Medicago truncatula: one gene and its partner. The protein of the gene in region 2 interacts with the protein of the main gene of each other region in a pairwise test. Links are inferred from orthologs where the notes say so. Each region holds a gene or a part of one and is shown on either strand. Other genes may lie near its edges.

Evidence for each region.
Region 1: the proteins of probable LRR receptor-like serine/threonine-protein kinase At1g14390 (region 2) and LRR receptor-like serine/threonine-protein kinase FLS2 interact in a protein complementation assay, tested with the Arabidopsis thaliana proteins (2 studies listed by BioGRID). The link is inferred for Medicago truncatula from reciprocal best matches to the Arabidopsis thaliana genes AT1G14390 and AT4G20790.

What each region holds. Positions count from the first base shown.
Region 1 is NC_053045.1:45,930,249-45,946,663, reverse strand, and holds LRR receptor-like serine/threonine-protein kinase FLS2, read left to right. Parts: upstream 1-9,494; coding exon 9,495-10,755; intron 10,756-11,056; coding exon 11,057-11,415; downstream 11,416-16,415. Other genes in the region: E3 ubiquitin-protein ligase SINA-like 10, read right to left, coding at 1,679-2,323, 3,935-4,273; DNA polymerase delta subunit 4, read right to left, coding at 5,976-6,169, 6,273-6,423; DNA polymerase delta subunit 4, read right to left, coding at 14,293-14,580.
Region 2 is NC_053049.1:26,872,258-26,888,791, reverse strand, and holds probable LRR receptor-like serine/threonine-protein kinase At1g14390, read right to left. Parts: upstream 9,156-16,534; 5' UTR 8,721-9,155; coding exon 7,517-8,720; intron 6,842-7,516; coding exon 6,708-6,841; intron 6,607-6,707; coding exon 6,363-6,606; intron 5,900-6,362; coding exon 5,706-5,899; intron 5,605-5,705; coding exon 5,564-5,604; intron 5,476-5,563; coding exon 5,364-5,475; intron 4,790-5,363; coding exon 4,553-4,789; 3' UTR 4,360-4,552; downstream 1-4,359. Other genes in the region: uncharacterized protein, read right to left, coding at 15,055-15,453; SKP1-like protein 1A, read right to left, coding at 16,003-16,479.

The DNA of each region.
Region 1 (16,415 bases), on a different chromosome or scaffold from region 2:
AATAGAAATTTATTGGTTGATTAAAATGAAAGTACAATAAGAAGAAAATGTGCAAAAATACACATTGCTATTTTTATGTTAATTTTTTAAAAAAACACTTAAAAAGAAACGGAGGGAGTAATTTTTTAATTTCATTTTAGTCTCATAACTATTATTTCTTAGAGTATATTTTAGCTCCTCAGATTTGCTTCGTTTAAAGAAGAATTTGTTACTACACACTAGGGCTGGACAGAATATTGAAAACCGGCCGAACCGGATGGACCGAAGCATGGCGGTTCGGGTTGAGCGGTTAAACCGGTTGGTTGGTCCAGTTGAAATGGTTTGGTGTGACTAATCATGGTCGGTTACGGGTTGTAATATCCAACCCACGGAAAACCGTTTCCGACCGATCCAGCCCACGTAACTAATGTCCAGCCCAAAGTCCAGTTGAACCCACATATATAAACATAAGTTAGAGAACTGAAACCCTAGTTTTTCTTTCTTGTTTGTTTTTCCTCTGCTGCGGCTGCTGTTCTTCTCCATCCATACATCAGAAATGATTCCTTTCCTTCAAATCAAACATCATCCAAAAACACACAAATCTCGAATCATAAATCACAAAATCATTATTTTCTTCCATTTTCCATAAAAAATTTAAAACAAAAATCACAAATTAACAATGTTAATCCTGCCTTAAGAAATATATTCTACTACACTCTGTATTACGTTCTTATTTTATCTTTTGTTGCTCTACTGATCATAGGTTTTAGAGATTAGGCTTGAGCCAAACTCCATGGTATAGATATACACTTGTTTTCAAGCGTTTCCAGAAGTTTTATAGATATAGACATGTCTTGGTATCTATGTTGTATTTTAGCTTTCACACTCAACTAGGATTATTCTTTTGGTTTTCGTCAACTAGATCTCTTTTCTAAGTACTACCTACTGTTTAATCCTTGTTGTGCAGCATCAAAATTATTCTTTTGGTTTTCATCAACTATGATATATTGTGGCACAAAGACCGCTCTTGATTTTTACCGAATTAACCGAACCAAACCACACATTTCACCGGCTTAACCGTCTACACCGAACCGACTAAACCGATGCCTAAGTTGGTCGGAAATGGTTTAGGGATATGCAACCGTTGGTTTAAACGGTTTCAAGTTTTGGAACCGATTTTGATTTCGAACCTAACCGACCCACACATACAAATGACAACAACTTTCTTGACAGCTGTCAACTCCAATTGTGCTCCCATGTAGTAATAGTTAGATATGATAAAATCCTAAATTAAGTGAATGTATTGAAGCAAGTCTTAAAGAAGTGTACACAACTTGATCCTCCGTAACTCCTTACAATATGACTGTAGAAACACTTTGTAACCAACAATTGCACCGTTTTAACGGGATATGTATATAAAAAAGCACATAAATAAACTAAAATAATTGTCACTGAGGCTCCAACAAATTTAAGTTTTTAACATACTACATATTTATAGGATAATTTTGAAACCATAATCCCAAACATTAACAAAAGCATTTTTCATCTCCTACTCAATGAAGGCACCTTTCTTGAGAACAGTCAAATTCAATTGTGCCCACATGGAGTAGTAAATAGTTCAATATGATAAACTCCTAAATGAAGTAAATACATATAGCAATCAACTAAGTTGTAGACTGCTTCAATCTTTAACGAAGGGTTAGTGAGACTTTATACGAATATCCAATTTGAGTTGTCCAAAACCAAAATGATCTGAAGGTATCACAAGAAATCCAGCTGTAGGAGCATCACCATTATTGTCTTGAATGGTCTTCGTAGAAGATTGCAATATTAATGTGCTCCCTTGAGACCTAGCCAAGACATCATAATGAGTATCTGTAATTGCTTTGGGGCCCATGCAACTAATATGGACCATATTTCCGTGTTGAACAATGTGGTTGTGAACAATAAACAATCTTGCGTCATTTTGATCTAGAAGAACGATTTGTTTCTGTCGGGTATTTAAGGAGACAGAAATAAATTTGTCATAGGTAAACTGTATTCCAAAGCCTGCATGTCTGTGGCTGAAGTGGAGAGCTAACTCCTTGGATGAGGCAAGAAAACCGCAGCCTGTATGTGGGCATTTACATGGTATATATATGCATTCCTTCTCGTGGCTACTTTTCATACTGCAACTAAACATATCTTTGCAGCCATATTTTGCATTTGGGCATGATATTTTAATAGATTCCAGCAACTTCTCCACAGCCCGACAACGATTGTACCCAATGGGCATTGAACACATAGGACATTTGTTCCTAAGTTCGCCACAACATTTAGAGCAAGCAATATGCCCATTCTCACACTGAATTGTCATTTAATCACAAAGAAAGTTATCAAATTAGATCTCTCATTACATGGGGCATCAAACCAAACAATAAAAAAAAGTACCCTTGAAAGGCTTGCATGTTGAAGTAGCCAGATAGAAAACCAAAGGAACATACAAAAAAAAGTGGCAAATAATCAAAGAGAGCTCCCTCCCTTTCTTTTGAAGGGAAGGGAGGAGGTAAATTCCTCCTCCTTCTCTTATTGATTACCTTTAAATTACAGCAACCACATAAAACATTATCAATGAACAATGACATTCTTTCTTTCTTTCTTTTTTGAAAAATTGACATGAATCATAATGTGAGGTCACCATCATACTATTGTACTTCAAAAGAAAACATCAATTCAAATTTAAACATTAAAACAAACAACAAACCATGTGATCAACAACTCTGAGCACAAGGAATGCATAAAGTAGAAATTTTAGTAAGTATTGAAGATAAAAAATCATCTTCACAGCGAATTCAACTACAGTCACACATCAGTAAAGAACGGCTTATTAAAAAAAAAAAAATCTAGCAATTAAGACTGTTTTCCATTGTAATTATATGAGCTCAAGTCGTTAAGAGTTTATCGCAAAACATCAGCTATATGGTTATGAGACCCTAAATCATTTACCTATATCGCCCATGACAAAGTTAATTTTGTATTTTGTTTAAATTTGAGTTGCAAGTTTGCCATAGAAATTAATTCATGGTAACGATGAAGACTACTGACTACCATTCAACAAACTACAGTGTATCTCAACCTATTTGTTGATGCAGGTGAATATATTAAAAACAATAGTGCTAAGAAATAGCATTATGCAGCTAGAACCTTTAGAACTCAGAATAGAGTATCAGATCTATGTAGCAAATAGCAATTGATTTTGATTCACAAATTAACACTCATAAACAGAACTTTGAATTCGAGGTTTATATTCAACAAAATCGTTCCTTTTGAACCTTCAAAATACAGAAAGAAATGTGTCTATATAAACACCTATGCCAACAAATTGACCCTCTCTCAGCCACATTTCAGGCATAAGTATAACAACTTACTCAATTAAGTTCATTACATTAAGGGTAGTCCAAAACACCACACAGGCCCACATTGGATGTTACATCCTTCCACATTGATTTTACAGTAAAAAGTTGATTGGATATGGGTGTGGGTGTGGGTGTGTGGTGTTTTGGACTTGACTGTGTAATTTTTCAGCCACGCTTAAACCATGGCCTTTAAAAGGGGAGTCCAAAACACCACACACCTACATCCAATGAACTTTTTACAGTAAAATCACAAAAGTAGACCTGCCATAACAATTTATCCTCGAATCTCAAGGCATTGGGTTTGGGTTCATGGATTGGTTGTGTGTTACAGCGGTTGAATTCATCAATCCGCCAGAGCTGATTACAATTGACTTGCTATGGATGTGAAATTTCTGAAATCCTTTTCAAAAGGAAACTTCTTCACCCAAATTCCAACTCACAATAAAATCACTAACCTAAATCTTCCATCACAAATCAAATAATTCATACAAAAACAAAAAATCACAGCAAAAAAATTCAAGATTTCTAGTCAAAACAGAACACCCAGAAGAGAAACTAACCTGATAAATAGGAACTGCCAACGGTTCAGAGCAAATGAAGCAATCAAGAACATCAGGATCAGAAATGATAGCAGAAACCTTCTTACTCAGATCATTATTCTGTTGTCCCGCGTTGGATCCAACCGAATTTCTTTCATTTGCATCATTTTCTAGGGTTTCAATTGGGGGATTTTCCATTTCAAACCCTTCTTGAGGTTGTTGATTTTCTTCTTCTTCTTCTTCTTCTCTTGTAGTTGTTGCTGCTGCGACTTCTTCACCGGCGTCGACCCTTCGACGCTTCTGATTTGGGTTGCTAGGTCCTTCACCGTCGTCGCAGCCACCAACGGAAAATGTCACCATCGGTGGTTGTTTCTCGTAGGTATCAAATATTTATTATTTCGATAAAACTGCTATGGTTTTAATTTTAACATAAAAAGATGCTGCTGGTTTTGATGTGATAAATTTACCTATGTACTTTTAGAACTACTTCTATTAATTATTTCCATATAGTAGTACATTACTATTGATTATTTTTGTAAGGTAAGAATAATGTCATTGACCCGAATTCATATCTAAAAACTAATAATTTTTCAAAAAAAAACCAAGTCGGTTCAAGGGGACTGCCATTAAAATAAAGGACCCGAATTCACGCGTAATGTTTATGTTAAATATTATTTTCAACGTATATTATTAATTATATTAAATTTTTATTTTAAAAAGTTCTTGCACTAATGCGGTTGAGTCAAATTAAAGGAATTGACTCTCACAATCTTACGAATCAAATTTTCGAACTATAACTAGGAACGATATCCATATTTGATGATCGACATGCCTCCAATTCCTTTATTGAAGAAATGTTATATCCATATTTGGCGAATTGTTGCTCCAGTTAAGACTTTATTGAAGAAATGTTATATCCATATTTGATGATCGACATGCCTCCAATTCCTCACTGTAGAAACTGTAGAAATGATCTACAGTGAGGAAGCAACAATTTTTTATGACATAGTTTGATTCAACTGGAGCTTTTATTTCTCTCAATCTCCGGTTAATTCAAATGGGTGAAATGTGTTCGTTTAGAGTGTCCCTAAGGATAGTTTTGTTAAAATCAATGGTGATAGTTTTGTTACTGATCATGGAGCCCTAACAACTTCGGAATGGTAATGGTATTTGACTTTGAGCTCATCAAGGTGGAGTTTGATTCTCTATCAGCACTGTCCTTATTTCTAATGGCTTTGATTTACACCAGCCATGTTATCCAGATTAGGGATCTCCTCGAGCAGTTGTCTTCTTGGTCTGTTATTCATGTGCATTGGAAAGTTAATAAAGTTGTTGATTGTTTTGCCAAGTTTGGTCTTAACATTTCTTCTAGTGCTGGGATTTTTATTCAATTTCTGTTTTGACTTCTTTTAGTTTTGCGTGTCTGAACCTGTGGTGTCATCACCTCAAATACAAAGAATTGGCTTAAGGACTAGCAGTTCCGTTAGATGATGATTCATTTATACTATATGCTTAAGCTTGTATAAGCAAGAAAAATTGGTGAATCTACAACAAGATATAAACCCCAGTTTTCAGAATTGCTTAATCATAGTTAGTCTCTTTTTACTGTATTTCCTCTTTTATATTGTACATCAAAAAAGTGGTACCTTATACCATAATACCCAATAAGCTAGTAAAATGATGTTTGTTGCAAAATACTAAAAACACTTAATGATGTAAATGCAATAAGCTAGTAAGTTCGAACCAGATTCTAGTTAAGTTCATATGCATTGGAGGGCCATTTATATTCCTCTTTTTCAATTTCATTTCTTGTCAATAATCATGAAATACAAGTATCCGACTTCGAATTTACTCCCTCAAACAGCATGTATCAATTGCACAATTAACAGCATAAGAACAGAACAGAACAGAACAACAAGATATCGAGTCACATAAGAAAACATACTACTACTACTACCAGGGAAAGGGGACACAGCAAGAAAGTGATTTTCCCTAAGCAAAACCTAAACAAACAAACAAGTCAGAAGAAGCTACAACAAGATTATTACATTTAAGCAGCGTTCTAAATGCGAGTGTCCCAAAGTGATTCTTGCTGAACTTTACCACTCTTCAAGAGTTCCGCGATTTCCTCCGGAGGGTTCAAACCAAGCTTCACAGCACGCTCCAAGCGTGCCAGCCTCGTCATCCCCATACAAGGCCCATACTTCATGTTCATGTCAAATTGTCGAAGCACAGCCTCGCTGCCGTTGTGTTCATCTGTAGTAACCGCAACCAAATCATATTAGAAAAATAAAATATATGAAATTAATAAAAGATGAAGGTGATTGGGGGTGAGAAAACCCTAGAAATCAAATTGAACCTTGGAGATCTGGGTTGGTGTTGAGGGATGGTGAAGTGGAGGCGTGAGTTGGAGGTTTTATGGACTTGGATGATTTGGCGGTGGTGGTGAGATTGGTGTTTTTCTTCTGCTTGTAGAAGCCCTTCATATTCCCAGATACCGATGAAGACATTCTCTCTCTCTCTCTCTCTCTCCTTTCGAATTTTGAATTTGAAGAAAATGGTTGAAATTCTCGGGTTGTCTAAAGCACCACTGACCCCACCTTTAAATAACCACGTATTTTTTCCTTTTCAATTTCAATAAAAAGACCACAAGGTTGGTTTATTTAATTATTTTAGTATCATTTCATATTTAAATTGCCATAAAATCATGATAAATGATATCTGTACAATAATTTTTTGATAAATTTCTCTCTTATATTTAAATTATGTTTTATTCGCTCTTTTTTTTTTTTTCCTTCTCTATAGTTTTTGACTGGTCAAATGAGAGAAAAACAAAATTGACATAAAAGTTATTCGAAAGAGTTGTACAAACTCTAAAATCATACAATCATACATCGAGCAAGATTATTATTACATAAAATAAATAGCAATATTTGGTATAATTTTTTTTTTACCAAGTACTACTTCAAATTTTCAAAATGGTGGGGTCGGAGTCGGACATCTCAATTTATTTAAGCTAAGTTATAATGAATTAGAGATCTTGGTTTAAACCCAAACAAAAAGGTAAAAAGTAAACCTAACAAATAAATACTAATATTTATCGTAAAAAAAGTTTTTTTCCTTCAAAATAGTATAAGAGCATAAATATAATTGGGCACGTATGTAAATACAAATTACAACATATGAGTTGTTCAGAGGAGCTACTTCGATGGAGCTCCAAGAACATTCTAAGACTCAAACGATAATACATTGTTCAAGCTCATTAAGTTATGATCCAAAGTCTTTCATTGGATGTCGGGTACGAGTACGACTGTGCATGAACAAGGTTTCAACACATCCGTACAAGGAACATGAAACTGAGACTCGTTTTTAGACACATTAATTATTCGTACATGACACGTAGAATCAGGGCATACATAACTTATGTCACTTTGTTGCGTGGCAGGTCATGATAAGCTTGAACGGAACCACAACAAGTTTATATGCATAGCCGAATTTGGCATGGTTGGTGTGAGTTGAATAATCAAGCTAATGTTGAGTGAGATCTTGTAGATGATGTGATTTGGCATGACTTGAAAATTCAAACCAAACCAATGTTGAGTGAGGAAGAGGTGAGCTAGCATGATTTGAACAGTCAAGCCAATGCTGAGTTGGGCGATGTGAGCTGGCATGACTTGCATAGTTAAATCTGAGTTGGATCTTGCTAGCCAATCAAGTTAAGATATTACAAGCCACATGGTATGATCGTCCATACCAATCCACAATGCATCAAACGTCAAATCTATTATGGCATTTAGACGTTTGTTCTTTATTCAATTGACCTATACCAGTCCACATTTTGCCAAAGATCAAACTTGTTAATGCATATATATTTGTTCTTTATTCGGTCGGCGTATATCAATCCACTAATAATCATTAATGAAATGAATGTTTTATTCAAAATTATTGTTATAAGTTTTTTAATATTACTATTTTTTGGAACAATTTTAATATTATTATTTAGTTATCGTTATAATGATATTTTTTCAATTATTATCATATATATAATTAGTAGAGAAATGCTAGCAACACACATTTTAACACATTGTCTTTGATTTGTTAAAATTCACATGAGACCCAACAAATTTATATGGAACCCACATAATTTGGGGACTCATGTGAATTTTAACCAATCAAAGAAAATGTGTTGAAAAATATGCGTTGATGACCTTCCTCGTAATTAATTAGTATCCTACATTTATAATGATTAAAACAAAGTAAAATAATGAAAATAAAAAAGGTTATATATTCAGTTCAATTTCTATTTTTTTTTACTAAACCATTTCCACCCCTCTATCAAAAAGGTTTTATAATATTTATAACTTGAAGTCACGGGGGGGGTGGGGGGTTGTCAAAGACTAATTTCTATGAGTTATCAAAATATTAATATTAATTCTCTTATATTGATTTAAGTCCAGACTTAAATCTCACCTAATATTACTTATTTGAAGCAGCGTTAGCAAAAAATATACTATACTGCTAATTTTTTTTGAAAGAATACTACTACTAATTGAGTAAATAGTCAATTTTTCCCTTGAAATTGTAGGTTTCGTCAATTATTCTTCTAAAATTAACAAAACTTCAATTACCCTCATGAAATTGCATAACGTTAATCAATTTACCACTCCGTCAAATTTTTCTGTTAACTGTTTACGGTTATGATCAAATACCCCCTGAAATTTTGCACTTATGTGCAAAATGCCCTCTAAACTTAAAAATTTATATTTTTTTATCCTTGACTAAAAATATATTAAAGGTAAACAAATTAACAATTATTGATCATATAAATATGTATGTAATGTATGTTTATGGAGCTATTGGTCATATAAATCTTTATAGAAGATATGTTACTCTCATGTGTTTTAAATATATACATATATAGAAGTTTTTTTTTTTTTTACACAAGTTGGTAATTATGTTAGAGTATGTAGTCATAAAGTACACAAGTCTTTGATAATTGTGTGTCCATAAAGAAAATGCATATGTTTATATCTGCAGAAGGAAGAAGAAACAAGACTTGTTGATAAATATGAAATATAAATGAAAAGACTCCACATGACAAAACCATGATTTCTTTGGCATATATTCATTCATTTTTTTGTGAATAGAATATTTATGACAATAGGTACAATATACTACTTGAAGAACTAAATGTATGATTTTTGATAAGAAAAAAATCTAAATTTTTAAGTTTATGGGACATTTTGCGCATAAGTGCAAAATTTCAGGGGGTATTTGATCATAACCGTAAACAGTTAACAAAAAAATTTGACGGAGGGGTAAATTGATTAACGTTATGCAATTTCAGGGTGATAATTGAAGTTTTGTTAATTTCGGGGGGTAATTGACGATACTTACAATTTCAGGGGGGAAATTGACTATTTAATCACTACTAATTTGTTTAGTCCTTACAGTTCTGTATTGGGTTACGGTTGCAACAAGTGACAATAATGACAGTTATTCCACATCATCACTAAATTAGTTTCCTTTACCAGTTGTTGTTCTGAAATCATCCATCCTAGATAGTAACACATTCATAATCATGGCTACCACCATTTCATCAACTTGCTTCATCTTTGTTCCTATAATTTTATCATCGTTGTTATGTCCTAAAACAACATTATGTGCAACTGTCCTAGAAGACCTCAAAAACTTACACAAACCACCAGATTTCAACACTACCATTTTCAACAACTGTCTCAAAAACCCTTCTCTCAGATACTGCACTTCCTCCCCCATGGTTGACCTTGATGAAATATTCAAACACACTATTGTTGCTAGTCATCTATGCAATGAATCTAACAACCCCAATTGTGTTGAATCATTTCCTAAAATTGATCTTCGTAACCGGCCAAACATTGCATCTCTTTACTTGTCTTTCACTTTCTTTTGGAAATATTGTCCTTTGAGTATTCAATCCATTGATTTCTCCAACAATTCTATAAAGGGTGGTTTTCCAAATGATGTTCTTTATTGCACACAAATTCAGTCTCTTGATTTAGGTATCAATGAGTTTTCTGGTGAAATTCCAATTCAAAGTTTCTCTTCACTAACTAACCTCACTTTTCTTAACCTTTCTTATAACTGTTTCTCAGAGAGTGAAATTTCTGATTCACAATTCTTCAAAAAGTTTAATGCTTCTAGTTTTCTTCATTCTGGTGCTCTTGTTGATCACAAAAAGTTTACTATAAAAGCTATCATTTTATTGGTTGGTTTTCCTATTCTTGTCATTTTGATGGTAATTTTCTTGGGATGGCTTTGTTTTCAAAGACCTGATTTTCTGCCAAGAATACTTCAAAGTAGTAGAGGATATACATTTACACCAGCAATTCTTGAGGCTGCAACTTGTGGTTTTTCGAACAAAAATTTGGTTGGTAAGAGTGATATTGTCCATATCTACAAAGGGGTGTTAAGAGATGCAACTGAAGTGAAAATTGAGATGTATTGGGATGATATATCAAGGGATAGCTATCATAAATTTGTTGAGGAATGCAAGATTCTGTCTGAGTTAAATCACAAGAATCTTGTTAAGGTTTTAGGATGGTGTAAAGGTAGAAAATTCAGGGCTATTATAACAGAATGGACAGAAGAAGAAAATGTTGAAATGTGGCTATCAGGGGCAAGTCCATCATGGAATCATAGAGTGAAAGTTTTGATGGGAGTTGTTGAATGCATGCTATATCTTCATGAGGAGTGGCCTGAAGTTGATTACGATCTCAAGACAAGTAGTGTTTTGTTATCTGATAAACTAGAACCATTGATTTCAAGGTTTCAAGTTGGAGAAAGAAACAACAGTAGAAGAAGTAAGAATCTCTATCACTTTATTAATTTATAATGGCAATATCATGTTTTGGTGCGCACAATTTCTTTCAAATAGTTGAGAGTCGCACGTTAGATTAAGGCAGATTACCCTCCACACTTCAAATATACACATAATGTCAAAAACAAAAAATATGAATAGGAATGTGCGCGTCTTTCTGCTAGTAATAGACAATTACCATGCGCAATCAAGATTTCTTCCAAAATGATATTTTTTCTTTTTTCCTTTTCCTTGTTTTTATGTCTTATATCGTTATTGAATTAATTACTTTTATTATATTATAGAGGTGTGTAAGTTTGGAGTATTTCTGCTGGAGATGATACTAAACAAGAGCGTTCAAGAGGACTTTGATGGAGATGATGCCGGTTTTATTAGCTACATGAGAACTCTTCGTCTTTCAGAAATGCAACAAATGGTTGATGAGAGAATAAATGTTACTGAAACAACTTTGCATCAAGTTAAACAGGCTTTATCCCTAGGATTAATGTGCATAGACCAATCAAGCAAAGAGCAACCAAGCTTGGCACAAATATTTAATATTGTATCAAAGGCATACAAGTCTAACCTTGTTTTGCCATCTGCAAATCATAAAACATTTCATGGAGATAAAGTTATGGGACACAAGCATTTTCAGTTTAGATAAGTCACAATATTAAAGGAAATTTTTCCTTAGATTTAATCTTTAGAACTACCATTAGCTCTGTTCTGACTTCTGATAATTTATTTTGATTATACTTCATTCACTATCGTAGTAGTTTTAAGCATGTATTGTATAGTTGTACTAATTTAGTATATTTGTTGGCTAACTTTTAGCTACACTTAGTGACATATATTTGAATTTGGATCATTTGTAGTTTGTTGCAGATGTTCCAAATCACCTAAATTTGTAGTCAAATGGATGTATCATGTACCCGATAAGAAGGTGCTCAATGGTATAAAATGGGTATACCCTATATATGAGTGTCCATGTATCACTACTAAAACAAATGGATCAAGAATATGTGTTTTTTTCAATGAAGGTTTATTATCTTTTAAAAAGTTGGCTTAATTGATCTGCCGGTCCCTTAATTTATTTCTTTTATTCAATTTGGTCATATAAGTCTTAACTTTCTCAAACACGTCCCTTAACTGATTTCTTTTATTCAATTTGGTCCAATTTTGATAATTTTAATCCCCTAAAAAAAGAGACCGTTGGATTACGGAGGTCTATCAGATTTTATAGTGTATCATCAACACCTAATTTATTTACTTTCTTCTTCTTCTTCCATCATCTTCATCTCCATCCATTCATCCTTCATCAATAAAACCCAGGACAAAAAAATTTAAACCAATTATTTAATCACTACACCACCATCATTGTCATCTTCATTTATCATCATCAACACACTCCAACAACCTTCATCACCTCCCATATCGAAGATCAACAAATTCTTCTCACCAATACTCGTCACTTTTTTGTGAAGAAAATTCCAGACAGCCATCCACAATCCATATTCAAACCGTTTTATATTCCCATCAAAATCTATTTCAATTCCATTTACCCACTCACACTCATCATCAACTCCACCGCTTTCTTCCCCCAAACTCAAACCCTCCTTGCTCCTGTCAGATCTGGAACCAAATAATAACAACAAGTCCGGTGATGACGCGAAAAAAACGACGTTTTAAGGCTTTTCACGGATGACTCCTACCTTTTTGAGTTTGGTTTCGAATGTAACGATTCATTTTGAGCTGGTAATGGATGTCGTGAAATGGAGCTGTTCATGCAGAAAACTGAGTTTGATTTTTGTGTTTGATTGTCGTGAAATGGAGCTCTTTGATTTGAGAGGTTATGAAGGTTGTTGTTTATGTGTTGTTGTTTCTGGAATTTTTATTGAGGTTTTGCTTCTTTATGGATTTTTGATTTTTGTGTTTCTTCTCCTTTTGTGGTGTGTTTATGTTCCAAGGGTGGTTTTGTGAGCTTGTGTTCTGTTTTGTTTGGGATCTTGCCTTGCTGGTGTTCTTTAGCTATGGGAAAGGGTTTTTTTTTTTTTTTGTACCATTTGGATTGGATTGGGGAATTTGGGATTGCAGAGATGAGGATTGATGATGAATCTAGAGAATGGAATTGGAAGAGTGTGATTTGGAATTGAATCTTGGTTTTTTATGAAGATGATTGAAGGATGAATGAAGATGAAGATGAAGATGATGGAAGAAGAAGAAAGTAAATAAATTAGGTGTTGATGATACACTATAAAATCTGATAGACCTCCGTAATTCAACGGTCTTTTTTTTTATGGGATTAAAATTATCAAAATTGGACCAAATTGAATAAAAGAAATCAGTTAAGGGACGTGTTTGAGAAAGTTAAGACTTATAGGACCAAATTGAATAAAAGAAATAAATTAAGGGACCGGCAGATCAATTAAGCCTAAAAAATTTCAGTAAATGTGTACATTACTTGCTCTACAAGTAATTATTAAAAACTAACTAACTTGCACAAAAATAGCTAACAACATTAACTAACAATTTTAGCTACTTATAATCTCAACTAACTTGAACTTATCTCAGCTAACTTGAATTAAAAATTAACAGTGCAGAGTAAAATTTTCCTAGTTGCAATGATAAGTTATATCCAAATTGACACAAGAAAAATAGATTTAGGCCCAAATTGCTTAGAAGTAACAGTTCCCCAAGAAAAAATTGTAAATCTAATAAACAAGATTAGTCATGTATTTCTTCATTCCTTATTCAAAAAAAAAAAAAAATGTATTTCTTCATTCCTGTATTATGCAACAAAAAAGTGGTACCTTACACCACAAAACCCAATAAGCAAGTAAAATCTTGTTCGTTGCAAAATAAAAACACTACTAATGTGCATAAACTCATCAAATCGTGATCGTTACAAAATATATTAATAATGATCATGCAATAAGCTAGTTAAATTCGAATCAAATTCTAGCTAAGACTCACAAACTCAGTCTTTATTGATTTAGTCATAAGGTGTGATACTTTTTCCATGCAAGGGTTGATTTTATATCTTCTTGTTTTATGATCTATAAACATGTGTATGCATGTATCAATTAAAACCATTTGAACATTGTAGTTCAATTTCCGTGACTGCATACATGAGACTCTAAAAGATTCGAAAATATGTTTTCCCAATTTACATCATTGATTCAATATGGTGAAAAAAAGAAAAGGGTGAATAGAGTCAACAATTTTTATGATCAAATTTAATCAATTCACTATTGTTTCTTTGTTACTTGCTTCCCAAGAAACTACTAAACGATGCACAAAAACAAACACACTAACAGAAAATGATTTTTCAAAACACATATATAGAAGTTTCTATCATATCAACCAGCAACATTCACTTAAGAGCCAATTAACATTTGATAAAACTTGTAAAACAAAACACACTAACAGAAACTGATTTTCCCTAAGAAAAATCTAAACAAAAAGGTCCATAAAGAAACAAGATTATATTATAACTAACAGCAAGAAACAAGATTATATATTATACTAACATCTAAGCCTTCTAAACGCGTTTGTTCCATAGGCCTTCTTGCTGATCATTACCACTCTTCAAGATCAGTTCCTTAATTTCCTGCGGAGGATTCATATCCCACTTCTTTGCACGCTCCCATCGTTCCAGCCTCGTCAGCCCAATGCTAGGCCCATAATCCATGTTCAGGTCGAATTGTCGCAGCACCGACTCGCTGTTGTTTTGTTCATCTGTAACCCCACCATTCACATTCCCAGTAACTGATGAAGAAGAAGACATATTCTTACTCTCTTTCTCTTTCACATTTCCAGATGAAGACATTTTCTCTCTCTCTTTCTTGAACCTTTCCCTTTTTGAAAACTGTTTGAATGAAACTCTCGAGTGGTGTAGATAAGTGACTTACCTAGCCACCTTTAAATAGACATACACAGCACACAAGCTTGGTTTATTTATTTTATTATTTGTATCATCATTTTCCTTTTTACATTTTTGTGGGATAAATAATTGACCATTTTTTTATCATTGTAATTGATTGATTTTTTTTATAAAACTGAAATATATTAATTTTATGTAAAAAATGTTTTTTGACAGCTGAGATATGTGTATAAAGAAAATATGATTAAACTTGAAGAATTGTCCGATGAAAATTAGTAATACTAAACAAAGATCGATACTTTTGGAAAGAGTAATGTTAAAAACAATTATTGAGTTAATATTTTTTTTCTTTCTTAATAGTTAAAAACAATAGATAAAAAAAAAAAAAAAGTGAGAGTAAAAAAACAATATGAGTATGAGAGACTTGTCTAAAAGTAATCATAAAATGGTGTTGTACAAATATTATTTCTGTTTCAAAAATGGACTAAGGGCTCATTATGCCGTAGTAGTGGTATGCGGTAAATTTCTATTAGATCAACTTTGTCTAAACGAATCAACCACTATAATCACTTGGCTCTTGAAAACTCTGGTTTGTTTTAATTTTTAATTTTTTTTAGTTTTGATTCTCATTAATCACTTTTTGATATTCTTAATTTATGCTTTGTTTTGTGCAGTTTTTTGCGTTTTGTGTTTGATTATTGGTGAGACTGTTGCGGCGATTGTTGAGTTCATGCCTGTTTGCATTGTGGTCGTTTGATTTGGATTTCATTGCTGAAACAGTGTCGTTGAGGGCAATGTGTTTGCCAATCAATTGTGATCAAATGCTTTGTTTTGAACATGGTTAGATAAAGATGAGAAAAACAGAAGACGGTGGTGGTATGCGGTAGAATCTTAGTGATTGGCTGCTTGCGATGGCATCGTTTTGAGATCAATGCTTCCTTACTTGTTTTGTGTTTCCATTAAAAACTCTTTGATCTGATCCATTTTTAGAGTGGAGTGTTAATAAGTCTATGAACGACAACAAGATTGTGCAGATATTGAAACTTTTTGTTGTGCTACTCTTAGATAGCATCACTATTTTTCCCTCACCTTGATGCCTCTGCTCTTATTTTTAGCTTGATAGTATGTTTATTACTTTTCCAGTGACTTTTTATTTCCTTTTCAATTAGTTTTCTTCATAAGTGAAAATCAACACACAAACAAGATTGAAGATAAACAATAGAGATGCATATAAGTTTTATTTGAGATAATAGTTCTCTACACCTTGAAAACAATATTTATTAAAATGAAAAAGATGTATTATCGATCAGTTATCAAACGGAAAGCATATAGGATCCCCATGTTGTTGAATTCTACATGGTCCTGACTTGAATATATTCCAATTGCAATCATCGCAATTACTTTTACGTAAATTACTGGCATGGTAAATATTAAAACTATGTGTCTCACCATTCCATCCAAAGGAGCAAGGGCTGTCGAAAAGAACTTTCTCATTGAAACTGAAACCATAGTTATCACCAGGATGCAGAGGATGGACTCCGAAATCATCATCCATAGTTTTGCAATGAACAATTAAGTCCAAACTTCCTTCCAAAGAGTTATGAATATTCACATGTATTCCATGAATATTGTGCAGTGATAACAAAATCAACGCACATAGCAAAATAATTTTTTGGATAAATAGAGACATTGCACCTTTGGTTATTAATCTTTTCTTTGGAAGTGAATAATATTGGATATATGTAGGAAGAAAAAACATATGTATTTATAGAAGATTTTGA
Region 2 (16,534 bases):
ACTCTAGAATTTCTAAGATATGAGCTTTGATAAGAAATTCTAAGAGAACTTTCAATGCAGAACAATTTCAGCAGAGTTTTGGCTCAGTTAATTCTTGGTATTGTCCTTGTAAAACTCTGAGTCTTCACTCCTTAATATAGAGGTGTGAAAGAGACGTTGAATTGCCAGCACATTCAAAATAGAGTCGTTTGAAGCTTTTGATCAATCACCAATGATCCTTTGCCTGATATGGTTACTGTCCTAAGAAGGATCAATTTCAAATGCATTCCCATTGTAAAGGAACATCGTTGCAGGCAGAGCTGTTTTTCTTGTCTTGTAACAGAGACAAAATAGAGTAATGGAGGTAGTGGTTGTACACTTCGTACAAACGTACCATGTCAACGCTCTTTTGAGGAACAAGCATCCAATGCGTTCAAATCCCTTCAAAGTAGCCATTGCTTCACTTTTCAGTCTTCTGCAATCCTTAGACGAGGTTGAATCCCATTAAACAGCTTTTGAAGCCTTAAGTTGCATCCTCTGATGAACTGCAGCTTCTGGTGATTTTTAGCTTCTAATAAACTTGCTTCTGATGACGTCATCACTTCAGGAGCACTTTGTCTTCAAGAGCGTTTTATCTTCAGGAGCAGTTTTCTTCAGACGCTTTAAGCTTCCCTTTTTGTTGATTTCTTTGCTCTTTATTGTTCTTCCAAGACCTTTTTAAGATATCAAATTTTGTCTATAATCCTGTACACTTGAACAAATATTAGCATATCCAATTGACAATTTTTAATACTTTTTTTATCATCAAAACTCTTAAGGGTTAATGTTAAACACATTTTGTTCCAACAACCATCAATGCCGGTCAAAAAACGTGTAGAAACACGGTTTTCAACTTAACCACCGTCCAAAATGTTTGAAAAACGTTTTCTTTGTGGTGCAGACCACCGCCCAAAAGCTTCTGGTGTAATTCAGAATGTATAATCCCGAAACATACGATACTGGGGTGAACAAAGGGAGACTTGGGACTTTGAGTATGGTGAGGGTTTGTTCGGATTTTACAATCTGGATTTATTCAGCATTGGATTCTTTTGTGTGTCCCACATTGCACCGACAATTCCTGTGGTCCACAACGCCCACATACCTCTATAAATAGGGGTCCCTGTTTTCATTACAATTAAACTACATTAGACAAAACAACATGGAATTCCCTGGCTTTGATCTAAACACCAAGCTAGAGGTAGTCTACTACAACAGTGGAACAGCACCCCATCTGTTTAGGATTCGAGACAATGTCACCCTCTCCGGGCTGAAGGATGAGCTGGATCAAATCAACCGTCAACTCAACCACAAAGACATGAGGAGGGTGGTCGGAGTTGAATATCGATGTCCATTGTCCGACTCAGCCGGATCTCTTTAGCTGGATGAAACTCAAGAACGACGACGACCTGCGAACCATGTTCTCTGTCCTTGGTCAGCACAGTACAAGAGGACTGATCGAGTTGGACACTTCGTTGGTTAGATTTGCTGAACAAATTCTGAAAAGTTTGCACCGGACCAGGAACTACGAAGAGATTCGGGCTCTGCTAGAGGGACCAGAGGAGGAAGAAGTTAGTTTAGATGATCCATGTTTTACTTAATCACATGTTTTATGTTGTTTTAATTGCATGTTAGTTATGTGTTGTTGAATTAAGTAGTTGCATTATAGTTTGAATAATATATATATATATATATTATTTAAACTTTCATTATGTTTTAATTTACGTCAAATATGTTCATATATTCAATAAAATAACCAAAGATATGATTTTCGGATTACGAAATCCGGATATGCCTAGGGCTTATCTGTGTTCCGGAAAACGAAATCCGGAATACCTCAGCATAAGATTCTTTTGTATGGACCACATTGCACTAGGAGTTTATGCGGTCCACAACATCCAAAGACCTCTATAAATACATCCTCTCCGGTTTTTAGCTTCAACACCATTAGAACACACAAACACAACAAAGAATATCATGAAATTTTTTGTCATTAAGCTGAGGATCTTTCTCATGCGGTCGCAAATAGATGAGTTAACTCTCTATTTGACTGCATGATGAAGATCCTCAGTATGCTGTCAAAAATACAAACAAACACACCAAAGAGACCATGCAAATTTTTGTCATTGTGCCGAGGATCTTTCTCATGCTGTTTTAAATATATATCTCTATATAACCGCATGATGAAGATCCTCATCATGCTGTCAAAAATATATAGATACTGCTTGATGCCTCCTTGATACATAGATAACTCAAAAATATCAAGAGGTTGCTATGAGTTAGATCTTGCTGCCTGCCAGATGAATATGTCATTTGGCAAGGCAGTAAGATCTAACTCAAAGAAATCCTCTTGAAAACACCTTCCCAAAAGATTCATCATTTCTGTTATTATGGTTTTTTTTAACTGTTTATTTGTCTTATGTTGCTTCAATTTATGTTATGTACCTTTGTTTTATTTTTTTCCAAGGCAATTGCAACAAAAACGATCCAAACAAAAGGGTCTGACGCAGTTCGGATTTTAAAATCCGGAATAGCTTCATGCATTCCAAATTATAAAATCCAGAAACCCTCAGTAACATTTTGGCTGGTGACGTTTCACCAAAGGTTAGGCCGGTTAGTGGAGTTTTAATACGTTTTTTTTGGACGGTTTTGAATGAAAAACACATTTTCCTTGACTTTCAAATTACCTATGACTTGTTTTAGGCTATAAAAAGGCTTAGATCTTCAACATTTTCCTTCATTCTTCTTTACCCTCCTTTCTTACATTTTCTTCAAAATTTTTTAGTTTTTTAGGTAGATTTTAGGAGTGTTAGTGGTGTCATGGTCATTGTTGACTGCTCATACGACCCCTTCAATTGCATTGCAGCTTATGCAGGGGTCGTATAACGGTCAACAGAGACCCTGACATCAAAGAAAGACACAAAATATTCATATCGTATTTGTCCGGATTATATATTCAAGAAACACTAACAATCTGGTCCGAATTACGTAATTCAGACCAGAGGTATTTATAGAATTTTTGCAGCAGGGCGGGAAAAGTAATAGTCATAAATTTTTATGCCCCAGAGTATGTAATGGCACTCATACTACACCAAATCTAGTCTTTCTTCTTCCACACCTTTCATCTTCCTCATCCTCAACCATAAATCCATCATGATCATTCAACTCATGAGTACTCCCTCTCCTTCCTCTTCCAACCCTTTCTCTTCCTCCTCTCTTTCCCTACCTCTATCAAGATCAATTTTTTTTCAAGAGATGATGTATGCTAAATTATTTAATTGGTGTAACAACACCAAATCCACTCCCTCTTCTTCCCCTTCACCTTCCACCCCCTCTTTTTTCTTCGCCGATAAATCCATCATAATCATTTGATGAGTTAATCTTTAGTTAACTAATATTGATTGATGGTGGAGTTTCTCTACCTTAAACACACATGTAATTATTACTAATACAAGGGAACAAGGATTTCAATATAATAAGTGTATACTTGATAATAGTACAATTCACATAAATGATGAGTAACCCTCTATTTAAGCTAAGCTCCATTTACGATTTGGATGTAAAACATGTGGCAAAAAATATGTAAGGGTTGAGATTTTAAATTAAAAAACAATAAAAGATGTACCGTTCCACACCCTACTACGCCAAATCTATTCCTTGTTCTTCCCCTTTCACACCCCGTCTCTTCTTCTTCATCCATCATAATCATTTAACCAATGAGCTAACATTCAACCAATCCATCCTAAAATCGATCGATGGTGGGGAAATCTTCTTTCTTTCCTCCAACTTAAACACTTAAAGACAAGGTGTAGACTTTTCATAATATAAAAGACCAATTTAAAACTAAAAAAAACTAAAAAAGGATTAATTTGGTACAAACTTTAAATTTAAAGGACCCCGTGATACATTTGGTCTAAGCATTTCGATATCTTTAAAGCTCCAATCATGTTATCCTTGATCAGTTCGAAATTGAATCACATAATTTCAGTCCTTAAATACACTACAACATTCAAAAGTGCTTAGTTGGTAATCTAGCAGAAGAAATACAACTTTTTTTGCATTTCAAGTAAGGAAGAATGTTGATTTTTGAGGAATTTGAAGGTTTATTGTTGACTCTGTTGATTTTGGACGTGTCATAAACTGGTACTTGAGAATATGGTTCTTAGTTGAACAAATTGTTTTATATTCCAATCTATGTAGTTGTAACTTCCTTTTGAATGTTTGTCACATTGTTTCTCATAAATATATTTTGTGTTAATCATCCGGTAAGGGATCTTTGATAATCCGGAGTTCAACGGTGAGATAAATATAGCCTGATCAATAATCGTTCCACACAAGAATAGATTTACAGGAGCCAAAATACAAATATGATAGGAACTTTAATAATAATATAATTTATACATAACAAATATGAAAAATGTAGGACAAAATGTGTTATTGGCCTTATGGAAGAAATTAAATATTTACATTACCATTTTATTCATCATGATCAATGAACTTTTGAAACACAATCAGACAAATTTTATTGACAAGAGGTTTAAAATTTTGTGCTGAGGTTCCCACTGCTGGTCCAATTCTCTTGAACTTGCATTGAATACTGTAAATTCCATAGAACATCCTCTATTGAAGGACGTTTACTAGAAACCTTAGAGAGACAATTGATTGTTATTTGAACTGCAGTGCTCATTGATTCATATGCATAACTCCCGCGTAGAGAAGGATCAATTGCACTTCTTAGTATTTGCGACGGTGCTTCTGATGAACCTCTTTCCAGCTGAATATGACAAAGATGTAATTAAAGATAAGAAAAGTAGTCTTTAAATCGGATATCGAGTTTAAGGAATGTGTATTGAGTCTATTGACAGTATAAAATATTTTTACACGGTCATCTTATCAATCAAAATGATTTTTAATGTCGATTTGTTATATTTTTAAAATATCTCAACAAACAGGTGATAGATAAAATTTGATTAGATAATGCGTAAAATAGATTTACATGTTCGGCAATGTTTTTCATGTACCAAAACTCATGTTTTAAAAATCGGATGAGATACCAAATCTGTGAAACCTTTGAGTCATGGTTTAATTAGTTCAATCAGTTCAGTCATGGTTGAACCAGATGACACATAAACTATAAAACAATGAAAACTAGTTGAACTGCAGTTTAACTTGTCGGTTCAGCCAGTTCAACTGGACTGCAACGTAACTTATTCTCGGTTCAACTGGTTGATTCAGTTCGATTTTTATAATATTGACGAAAACATTTATCATGTAAGATGAACAATCGTTATAATCTTCGAGCACTTTATGAAAAACATGTGACAAAGAACAGATGTAGTAATGGATACCTCATCCTTGAGCTGCTCTACTTCACTGGAGGATGCAATTTGTCTACCAGTAATGACTTCAAGTAGAATAACACCTAGCTGATAAATATCTTCTTTTTCTGCATAGTTTGTGCTGCACATGGATTTAAATTTCAAAATACTATCTTAGGATACAGTGAAATATAACATAAGATCAAGTGATTAATTAAAATGAGATATACCTTCCATTTTGATTCGCGGAACTTGGTTCATTAACTGTGCTCTGAAAATTAATCAATGCATAAATCATTCCATGTTAGAAACTTAGATGATCATGCAAATATTACTGAAAAAAATTAATCAAATCATGTATTCTGTCCTAACCTTAGATGGCAATGGAATTCTGTATCCACTAACTTTTGCATTAAGACTATCATCTAACAAAATATTCTCAATCTTGAAATTGTTGCCAAATATTCCAGGAGCAACTCCTGTATGTAAGAACTGAACTCCTCTTGCAATTCCTATGCTGATTGCCATTCTTTGTGGCCATTTTAGCATATCCTTCTTTTTCCCATCTGTTAAATAAATCTCATGTCATGTCGCATTTTTTGACATTCAAATCTTTGCTTTGACATTCATATCATGACATTCAATTTAGTCCTTCTATTAACCAAATGTTACAAAAACGATGATGTTGCAGAAGGACTAAATCGAAAACGTTTACAAATTTAAAAGACTTATGTGTGACTAAAATAACTTAAATGACAAATCTATTACAAACATCAAACTTAAAGGACTTAGTTGTGATCAATATAACTTAAATGACCAATCTGTTACAAACCTCAAACTTAAAGGACCTATGATGTAATTTTGACTAAATTTAATTTTGATACTTTGTCAATGTAAAATGTTTTACATTGTCAACAAATCACAATCTACCAAACACTTTTATGATCTGACGATTATGATTGATCGACAATGTAACTCAGAGTCTAATATGAATTAAATTCTTTATGATTTGATGATGTGATTGTTTACCTGTAAGTTGATCCCTTAATGACACATTTGAGATGTATTCAAGTACAATGAAGACTGTGCATGTTACTTGAGGAGGGTCCTGATGAGTAATGACACAGTGTCCTAGAACACTCACCATATGTCTATGCCTCAAATTTTGTAATGCATCTAATTGCTGCATAATGCTGTGTGGTAAACCCTTTTGCTTTATTTTTATACAATTAATTAGGACCAATGAACCATCCCTCAACGAACCTTTATATATCTGTGTAAATAAGATAGTAAATAATTAATATCATGGGGTCCATTTTTCATTACAAAGAACAAGTTATGAAACCTTGAAGATTATAAAAAATATTCTTTTACCTGTCCTTGTGATCCTTCTCCTATTAAATTTGATTGGTCAAAGTTATTGGTTGCATCTTCAATTTCTTCTTCTGTGAAAATATTGTATGGTGGCTGTCCATGTGTAGCTAGTCTCATTGTTTGAGGAACATGTCCTGTTTTCATAGGTCAGATCAAATTAATGCAATTTTTAATTGAAGGAATTTGTTTTGTTGTATTAAGAGAATATGAGTGAAAAATAATATAAAAATTATTTATTGGAAAACAAATAGAGAAAATATCAAATAAAGTGGTTAATTAAATTCAATTAAAGTTGAATAATATCGAATTTGACTCTTGGCTTTAAAAATTATTAATCAGACTTTCCTTACCACTCGACCAGATTATGAATTACTAAAAGTAAAAACAAAAAACAAACAAAAGAGCAAGTTTATGACAGCATGTACATCTTTACAGACACTTCCCTACTAAATAGTAAATAAACTACTAAAATTACTGTTCATGAAAACAACATAGAAAATACTATCATGACTGAAACACTATGGATTTTTCAACAGTTAATATCTTCTCAACCTATTATATGTATTTTCTATTTTGTTATAACACATCGGTAAATCACGAAAAAAGCTTATAGTCAGAGGTTTGACCAGGAGATAAGTAAAACCTGACTATAAATTATTACCGTTAGAGTTCAAACTCAAGTATTTAACCTTAGTTGAAACTTATTAATCACTTCGATCGTTGGTTGGGATGCATATGATTTAATATATCATAAATTAATTTACAATAAATGATAAATAAATAAATAAACATAATGATAGTGGTCTTACTTGCATTCAAATTTGATTTATCTGAAAACTTATGAGCAGCAGATCTATCCATATTATGATTCAATCTTTCTGGTTTTGATTTCCACAAGATGAACACAATAAGCAAAGCCAAAACACATGCAACTCCAACAACACCTCCAACAATAACAAGAACAAGTCCTAATTTCATACTTGATTCCTTTTTCACTTTTCTTTTAGGAGGCTTAACAGCTAAAGCTGCATCTTTTTTGCAATATGAAGATGCATGTTGATTTCTTGTTGATAAACAATTCCCAGAATACAATACTTTACCCTTTGAATTCATAATGCATGATGGTAATTTTCCTACTAGAAAATTATGTGAAATATCAACATAATTCAATGATGAACTACAAGGTGAATTCATTGAAAGATTACCACTAAATTTGTTTGAAGACAAATTTAGGTAATGAAGTGAATGTAATGAGAATATGGAATATGGAATTTTTCCAAAAAAGTTATTGGAAGAAATATCAAATATTTGAAGTTTATCAAAGTGTACTATCATAGAAGGAATTTGTGATCTTATAGAATTTTTGCTCAAAATAATTTTCACAAGATTTTTTCCAATTGAAGGAAATTGTGGACCTAACTTATTTCCATCAAAATTAACCTCTTCAAGAGAGGTTAAACTCTTAAGATCTGGAATATTTCCATTGAAAAGATTATCAGCAACAACAATACTCTTCAAATTCTTCATTGAAGAAATTGAAGAAGGAATTTCACCAGAAATGAAATTTGAACTAATGTTGAGAATTTCTAGTGACCAAAACCTGTTGATTTTTGCAGGTAATGGACCCCATAAACCTAATGAAACCAATGACAAAACCTTCAAATTTGAAAGTTTTGTCAAAACAGTGAAAAATGAATCAGTTGAAAAAGCTCCTGAAAGTGCTTGAAAAGGTTTGTTGATATGTGAAGATGGAGATGTTTTGTTTCCAATGATAGTTAATTCGGTTACGCGACCGTTCGAACAAACTATTTTGAGTGAAGGTGAAGGAGGGAGGAAACAAAAATTTGTCCAATTGTTCCATCCTTGAAGCACTGGTGGATATTCTAAAAGTTTTTGAACTTGGAAAAGAATTCTAGTTTCTGTTTGTGCTAATTGTGCAAGTGAAGTTGGAATAAGAAACACAAGAATGATTGTTGGAAACAAATAACAAAGTTTAAGACACAATTTCTTCATATTCAGAGTTTGGATTGAAAGAAAAGTGAAATTGCTAAGATGACATGATTTTACTAAGTGGGTGTATAAAACAAAATCTTTGATCAATAATTATGATGACTTTTTTTTATTCTGTTTTCTTTGATCAATAATTAGGAGAGGAAAGCTATTAAGTAGAAAAGTTACTTGTCAAAAATTCATGATACAATGATTGCAAAAAAGGGTTTTACTTTTTGATGAAAAATTATTAGTATAAAGAATTAACTGGGTGATGTTGGAGTAGGTAGGTAGGAAATGGGGGGAGGAATTAAGTTTGCAAAAAGTGGATCTGAGATCTGAAAAGTATGGAGTTCAAATTTTGATAGAAGGGACCTATAATTAGAAAGAAATAGTTTTGGTGAAGGAGCCTTTTTTGTTACACACACATCACATGAAAGAGTGCAAAGGTGTATTAAAGTAGGGTATGCAAGCCATGATACTCCCTCATGGCATATTTGGAATATTTACTCCTCTAAAATTTAAAATTTATTTACTTTTTGTAATAATATTTTCACATTATTTACTTGTCAAACTAACTACTTCAATTAGTATATTTTCATTGACTCATATTATATGTCTCACTTTTAGTCAAAACAATGTATTTAGACAAAAGTATGTACAAGATAGAGGTAGTAGTAGTTTCGGTCTTAGTTTAAAATTTGGACCACATACATCAGATTTTGTCGATTAAACTTTAACAAACACATTTTAATCATTTTATGTGTGTTTATCCCTCGATTTCAAGGGAAAATATATCTTGATAATTTGGAGTTCGACCTTGAAATAAGTAAATATGATAAAAAAACTCTTTTACTTAAAAATAAAACTCATATTCTCATGAACAATTCGATTGCTGACGGATATTCAACTAGTATTTTTTTAAAGAAATGCATTACCTAAAATGATACTCTACTAGTTATAAGAGTGTGGTAGTATTAAATAGCCACTAGGTTAGTTACTTGTTACATTTTCCAAAGAATCCAAGCTGTGCCAAACTGCAAAATGCCAAAGACAGCAAAGTCAACATAGCTCTGAAATCAAAGTAGCAAATGAAGGAACGTCGGTTTTGACCCATTTATGTGAGTATGTGAACACTGCTTAAACTAAAGAGTTGTTAAAGTAGTAACTCACATGCGATGCCACGTGACTTTTTATATGGAAAGTATAAATTACACAACACTATTGGTTATGGTAGAGTCCTATTAAGAATCATTATTTTACTTCCTTCTCCTTGCATCTTTATGATGGTGTTAATATTTTGAGGATGTTTAAATCTCGATTTTTTATTCCTAGTATGTGGAGAAGAGAGGCAACAAAATTGGTACATAAATATAAGGAAAATACTATGGTAAAGTTATGAGAATGACTTTTTTGGTGAAGTTAACACTATAATATCAAAAGTGTTAAGTGTAACACCCCACAAAGTATAATACTCAAGATTATCACATGATATCAACAACTCTGTTAAAGATGCCAACGATAAAATAGTACATGTAAGTCCAAGATGTTGCAAGCATTACTAGATGAATTACTATTGTTCATTAATCAGTAATCAACAATTTAAAAATAAATCAAACATTAAGATTAAAATTAACTTTTTTAAAACAGGTTTATGAAAGGAAGTAAACATACTAAAACAGGTTTTTACAAACAAATCACATATGTTATGCATATGAACAAGAATCCTTTTAGAAACCATAAAACATGAATAATTACTTCGTTGTAAAGTAGCATATGTACAATCGACACACAAATGAGTTTTGGTCCACCATATTGCTTTTAATTTATAATAATTTAGAGAGGTATTATTTGGACAACTATTTGGTTGATGATTTATTTGACAACAATAGATTTACAAAAAAATAAATAGATATTTACACGAAAATCAAACAAAAGAAAGATAAAGTAAAAACACAATGTAAATAATATTCCCTCCGGTCCTATTTATAAGAAAAAATTGACTTTTTAGATTTATTGTATAATTAATGTATGAGTTTTTCTAGTTGCACCCTAGTTAATCATGGTTGCACCCCAAAATGACAAGATTACCCTTTCATAAAATTTGATTTTCAAAAAGCCTATTCCTTCTTTTTTGGTTACACCCCAAAACCATTCTTCCAAAACCATAATTCTCCAATCGATCGATTGTGTTCTGCGAAGATTTTCAAAACCATACTTTCTCACGTCCATTCATGATTTCAAAGAAAATTCGAAGCAAATCAGGTTAGCAAGTGTTGTTCTTCAATCGATTGTGTTTTTCTTTTTATGGGTTCTCAGTTCTGATTTTGTGTTTTCCTTGTTCTGCGATTCGCAGTTCTGCGATTTTGTAAACTCAGTTTAAGTAGGTTCATGTAAACTCAGTTTAAGTAGGTTCATGTTAACTCAATCTAAGTAGGTTCATGTAAACTCAGTTTAAGTAGGTTCATGTAAACTAAGTTTACATGAACCTACTTAAACTGAATTTAAGTTAACCTTGCCAATGTAAATTAAAACCGTAATCGTACAGTGCATCATTGCAGTTGAAGGAAAAAAATTGAAACTAGCAAATAGAAGAAGAAATTCACTTACTTATATCCAATTGAGTATGGATGAAAAATATTTTGATTCACTCTTTAATTTTCATGGAGATTGATATTGAACATCAAATTGTTTGATCGATCGCTTTGTGGGGCGAAAGAGGGTGAAACTCACCGACAATGAATAAAATTAGGGTTTTAAGAAAATTTATATAAAAGGGCAATTTTGATATTATAAATTTTTTTTAAGAAAATTTGGGTGTAACCAGAAAAATATGGGGTGTAAATAGAAAAACTCTTAATGTATCTTGTCTAGAATATATATTAAATACATTATTTATGTAATAAATTAAAAAAGTTAAATGTTTCTTATAAATAGAACCAGAGAGAACATAAGAGAGAAAATTGTTATAAAATGATTGACAAATATCATTTCTAAATAATTTAGCACCTCATTGTCAAAAATTATACCCTATAACTATTCATTGGGTGTACTTATTCAAAGAAAGAAAAATTTCGAATGCGTGTAGAATTTGGAGTTTAGTGCCATTGTGTTTGTGTCGGTGAGATGTTACTCTAAAATGAGGGCAAACTGAAGATAAGGACCAGGGTTGCTATATAATACACACATTCTTTAGTAACATGGGTGACACTGACACATTTTTTTTAATGTGACATGAATTGAATTATTCTACCTAATTCCATTTTAGATTATTGTCCTGGCTGTTCCTGCATTTTGGAGAGTATAAGAATTAGTTATCTGCATGCAAAAGTAGTGTAGGACAACCTGTCAAGATCCGGTTTTAGGGTAAAGTATTTAGCTGCTACTTTTTATATTCTTTAAATTTAGTAAACTATGTACACCATTTTGGATTCTATATTTTTTGTCACAATTTGATCGTTTTAACAATTTTGTTTAAATGCATGATGATGGAGAAGTCAATTTTGGATGGTCATGTTCCTAATTAAGAGAAGAATTTTCACTTTGAAGTGCTGTTTAATATTATATTAAAAGAGAGGAAGATTTTGCTGAATAGATAATGCTGGTGTGCAGATTTTGTTCAATCTTACAAGGAGGATTGACACCTCGGTCCTTTGATGTTTGTACTAGTGAAGGGTCTCGTTGTCACATATCCTTATAGAGCGCACATGGATCAGATTATAGATACAAACATCATATAATCAGATCCATGTGTAAGAAGTCCAGAGCATCACCCTCTATTCAGAATGAATCAACTACATATCTCACCTAGTTAGTTATATGGTTGAGCGAGAATTGTATAAGTTTGGATTTGTTAATGTCATTCCCAGGCATCAAGGTCAACCTGCTTTACCTGTGATGACCTGAAAGCAAGTGTTTGTAGCTTATACCAACTTTCTTGAGTGTGTGTTTTTTGTTGAGGACTTGGGATCAAATGCACTGCACGGTATCGAGACATCATTTGGATATATGAAACTGTCTTTCAGGATTTCACATCTGTATATGTTACACCGACCCGTTGGGGATTGTCCTAGGCCACTTAAGCAAGAAGTCGTTGATTATATTGCTGATGAAAAGACGGGGAAAATGTAGATAGTATACATGGGCCCACTTCTAAGACGCATCAGGGACAAAATGTGACGTCCTAAACCCAAAATGCAATAAATCATGCAAATAAATCATTTATTCGAAATAGATTAAGATGACACGTCATCATTTTCTAAAAAACATGCATAATCTGATTTTCATAAAAACTAGCAGCGGAAAAAAAAAAAAAAAACATCATAAATATCTCAACAACATGTAATCATCCTCAAAGTACATAAATAATAAAATATCAACACCATGTCTCAGGTCTCATATACACCTCCGGTCACTATTATAAGCAAAAATTCTCTTTTTAGATTCATTCAATAAATGATGTATGTGATCTTTATATAAACCACATACATCATTTATTGAATGAACCTAAGAAGTGAATTTTTGCTTATAATAGTGACCATAGGGTGTACATAACAACAGTCTCAACAATAAATCCAACAACAGATAAATAACATAAAATGCATAAGTCCCGATATTCCTAATCAGAGCTTAATCTAGACTCCACGCAAAAGATGAAGAGGTAGCTCCAAGCTAATCCTTGAGCACTCACAAGCAATACGACTCAAACCTGCACGTCATCTACACCATTTATACAAATGGTGAGGCGGTCAACCAAACGACAACTAGGAGTTAGATAATATTCCACATAGTAAAATAAAAGCACAAAATAGAATTCAAGGATTTCAAACATCACATATATACATGCTCATCATCCTAGAATACTAACATCGTATGAATATTGTCATAAAATCAATGATAATATATTCAAGCATATCTCCTTCTTCAATCAAATTATCATCAATAACTCATCACCTTAACAACATTATCTCAAGCGTACTAATATCACCAAGCAAACATATTCAAGTACACAACTCCACATAAATCACATTATTCACCAATCACATATAATTCACATAATTCATCAAGTCATATAATCAAATATGACACATTTCACACATCTCATGTGCATGTAATGGTCTAGACACGACTCTGCATGCATGTGGTACCATTTCCATGTCGGAGGTAATTTTGCCAATTGATCCCTCTACATATTCTCCACATATTCTCGACATAAAGGACTACTTATGAATGTATGAATTTCAAGTATTACCTCGATAATGCACATCACCAATTAACTCTTCATACTCTACCTTTTTACCACGTTGCATTATCAAACAATACATCCATACATCAATAATTACCATCAATTAATCATCTCTACATATTTATTATCAAGTATTCATCTCTACATATTCATCATCAACAATTATTAAACAATTATCACCACAAGGAAACAACATTGTTTCATAAAGCACAATCCACGTAATAGACGAACAATCACTCACATCACGATGACCAACATATTATACACCAACCAATCACTGATTCACACTTATTTCATAATGAATAGAAAGTCATTTGCAAGTTATCAAATCATAATTCCTCATTTTTCCAAAGTTCTTATATTTTCACAAATATCGTTTATTTTCAAATATCTCATCAAAAGTAAGATACTGTGCTCTTACATATAAATAAATCATTATATTCCTATATATCATCTAACATCATAATAGTTCAATCATAGCATCTTCATTTTACAAAGTCAATTTATTTCTCAAAATTCACAACGTTTGACTCATTTTCTTACCACTAATGGGTTAGGTTAACTCATCTCATAATGGATCTAGCGTCTCTTACCACTTAATTAAAAAGTTACTACCCACTTAACTCATTAAAACATCTCATTAATTACTATCTCAAAACAATTACCTCAAGTTACTACTAATATTAGTAAAAATAATTATTCACACTAAAACACTAAAATACTCTTCATTCTAAAATTACTAGTTTACCCTCGCTTCTCAAATTACCAAAATACTCTTAGTTCTAAAATGACTAAAATACCATTTCTTGCCTAAAAATTCACTAATCTCAAATCAAACACACAAACGAGAAATTAAACACACACACACACACACACACACACACACACACACACACACATATATATATATATATATATATATATATATATATATATATAAAATAATCCGAGCGAAAAACAGGTTGTTACAACTCTCCCCCACTTAAAGAATTTTCGTCCTCGAAAATTACCTGAAGAAAACAACTCTGAACACGATTCCTTCATCAGACTCTCCGATTCCCAAGTAGCGCTCTCACCGGTTGGTCCAAACCAAATCACTTTCACCAAAACGATCTATTTTCCTCTTGACCTCCTCACTTCTCGATGTTCAATCCTCACCGACCAAGTCTCAACGGTCAAATTATCAATTACTTCCAAATCATCCACTTGAATCACATGTGACGGGTCATACACATACTTTTTGAGTTTAGATACATGAAATACACTATGAAGATTCGACAACAACGGCGGCAACGCAATCCGATACGCTACTGCTCCCACTTTCTCAATGATCTCAAATGGACCAATAAAATATGGTGTCAACTTCCTACACTTCAAAGCACGTTCGACACCGGTCACGAGGTTCACTCTTAAAAACACATGATCTTCAACTTGAAACTCAGTATCTTTCCTTCTCTCATCATGGTAACTCTTCTTCCTACTCTGAGACGATTTCATCTTTTCCTGAATCATCTTAACCTTTTATGTAGTCTGTTGAACAACTTCCGATTCTAGGGGATGATTTAGGGTCAAAAATTGGTTCTAAACCACCACTTATTGATGGGTAAAGAAGATAAAAAGAGAGAAAAATAATAGGAGCGGCGGCTAGGCTTAAGAAAATTGTTGAAGTTAATCGTAACATCTCTAAATAGTGATATTTAATTTTATAGTTCTGTAAAAAATTATATCATCGAAGAGAGTTCACCTTTTTTTTTTTTTTTGAAAGAAAAGAGAGTTCACCTTTTGTTTAGGATCCAATTGTAAACAACATAGATGACATTAAATTATTTTTTAATCTAAACTTTCAAATTAATTATAATAAACTTTTTATCAAATAACCTTGATAAAATCTTATGCTCATAAAATTCAAACTATGTAACTTATTCCATGAAGTCTACATTGATTGTTTCAGGAATGGAATGAAGCGTAACATAAAACCCACTGGAAATTTCTTGAGTGAGATTGTAATTTCAAAATAAAATAATCAAACAAAGCATTAGAGACTAAATTGACAGATTCATTTTATAACCATTGAAAAGCCTGATAATGCTCCTGACGAACTTCCGCTTCTTCCTCCGGAGTATAATCATTCACAATGTTGAAAGTCTCGCGAATCTCCTCTGGTGGCTTATTCTTCATCATATCTGCTATGGTCTTACATGTAAGATCATACAAGTTCTTGATGTTCAAATAGTTTGCAGCCAAGGTGAGTTTCATGAGTGTATATGGATCAACCTTGAGAAATTCAGTATCCCAAGCATTAAGAGCATCCTCAGAAGGTTTTTCTTCGGAACTTGTAGCCTCAACATGCTTCTTGCAATACTCAATAACTTTCGCCAAGATGTTTCTGGTTACTTGCAAAAGAGGGATTCCAGCGTCATCGACACAACCAGCCTCGATCACATGCTTGATTGTTTGTGACTCCATTGCCACAACCTCGTCGATTTCAAAGGTCTCGCCGTCGGAACTTTTCAAGGTGATCTTCCTCGTTGATGACATGATTTTGCTCTTCCCCTATTTCAAACGTAAAAACCCTAAAAAAAATTGGGTAAGA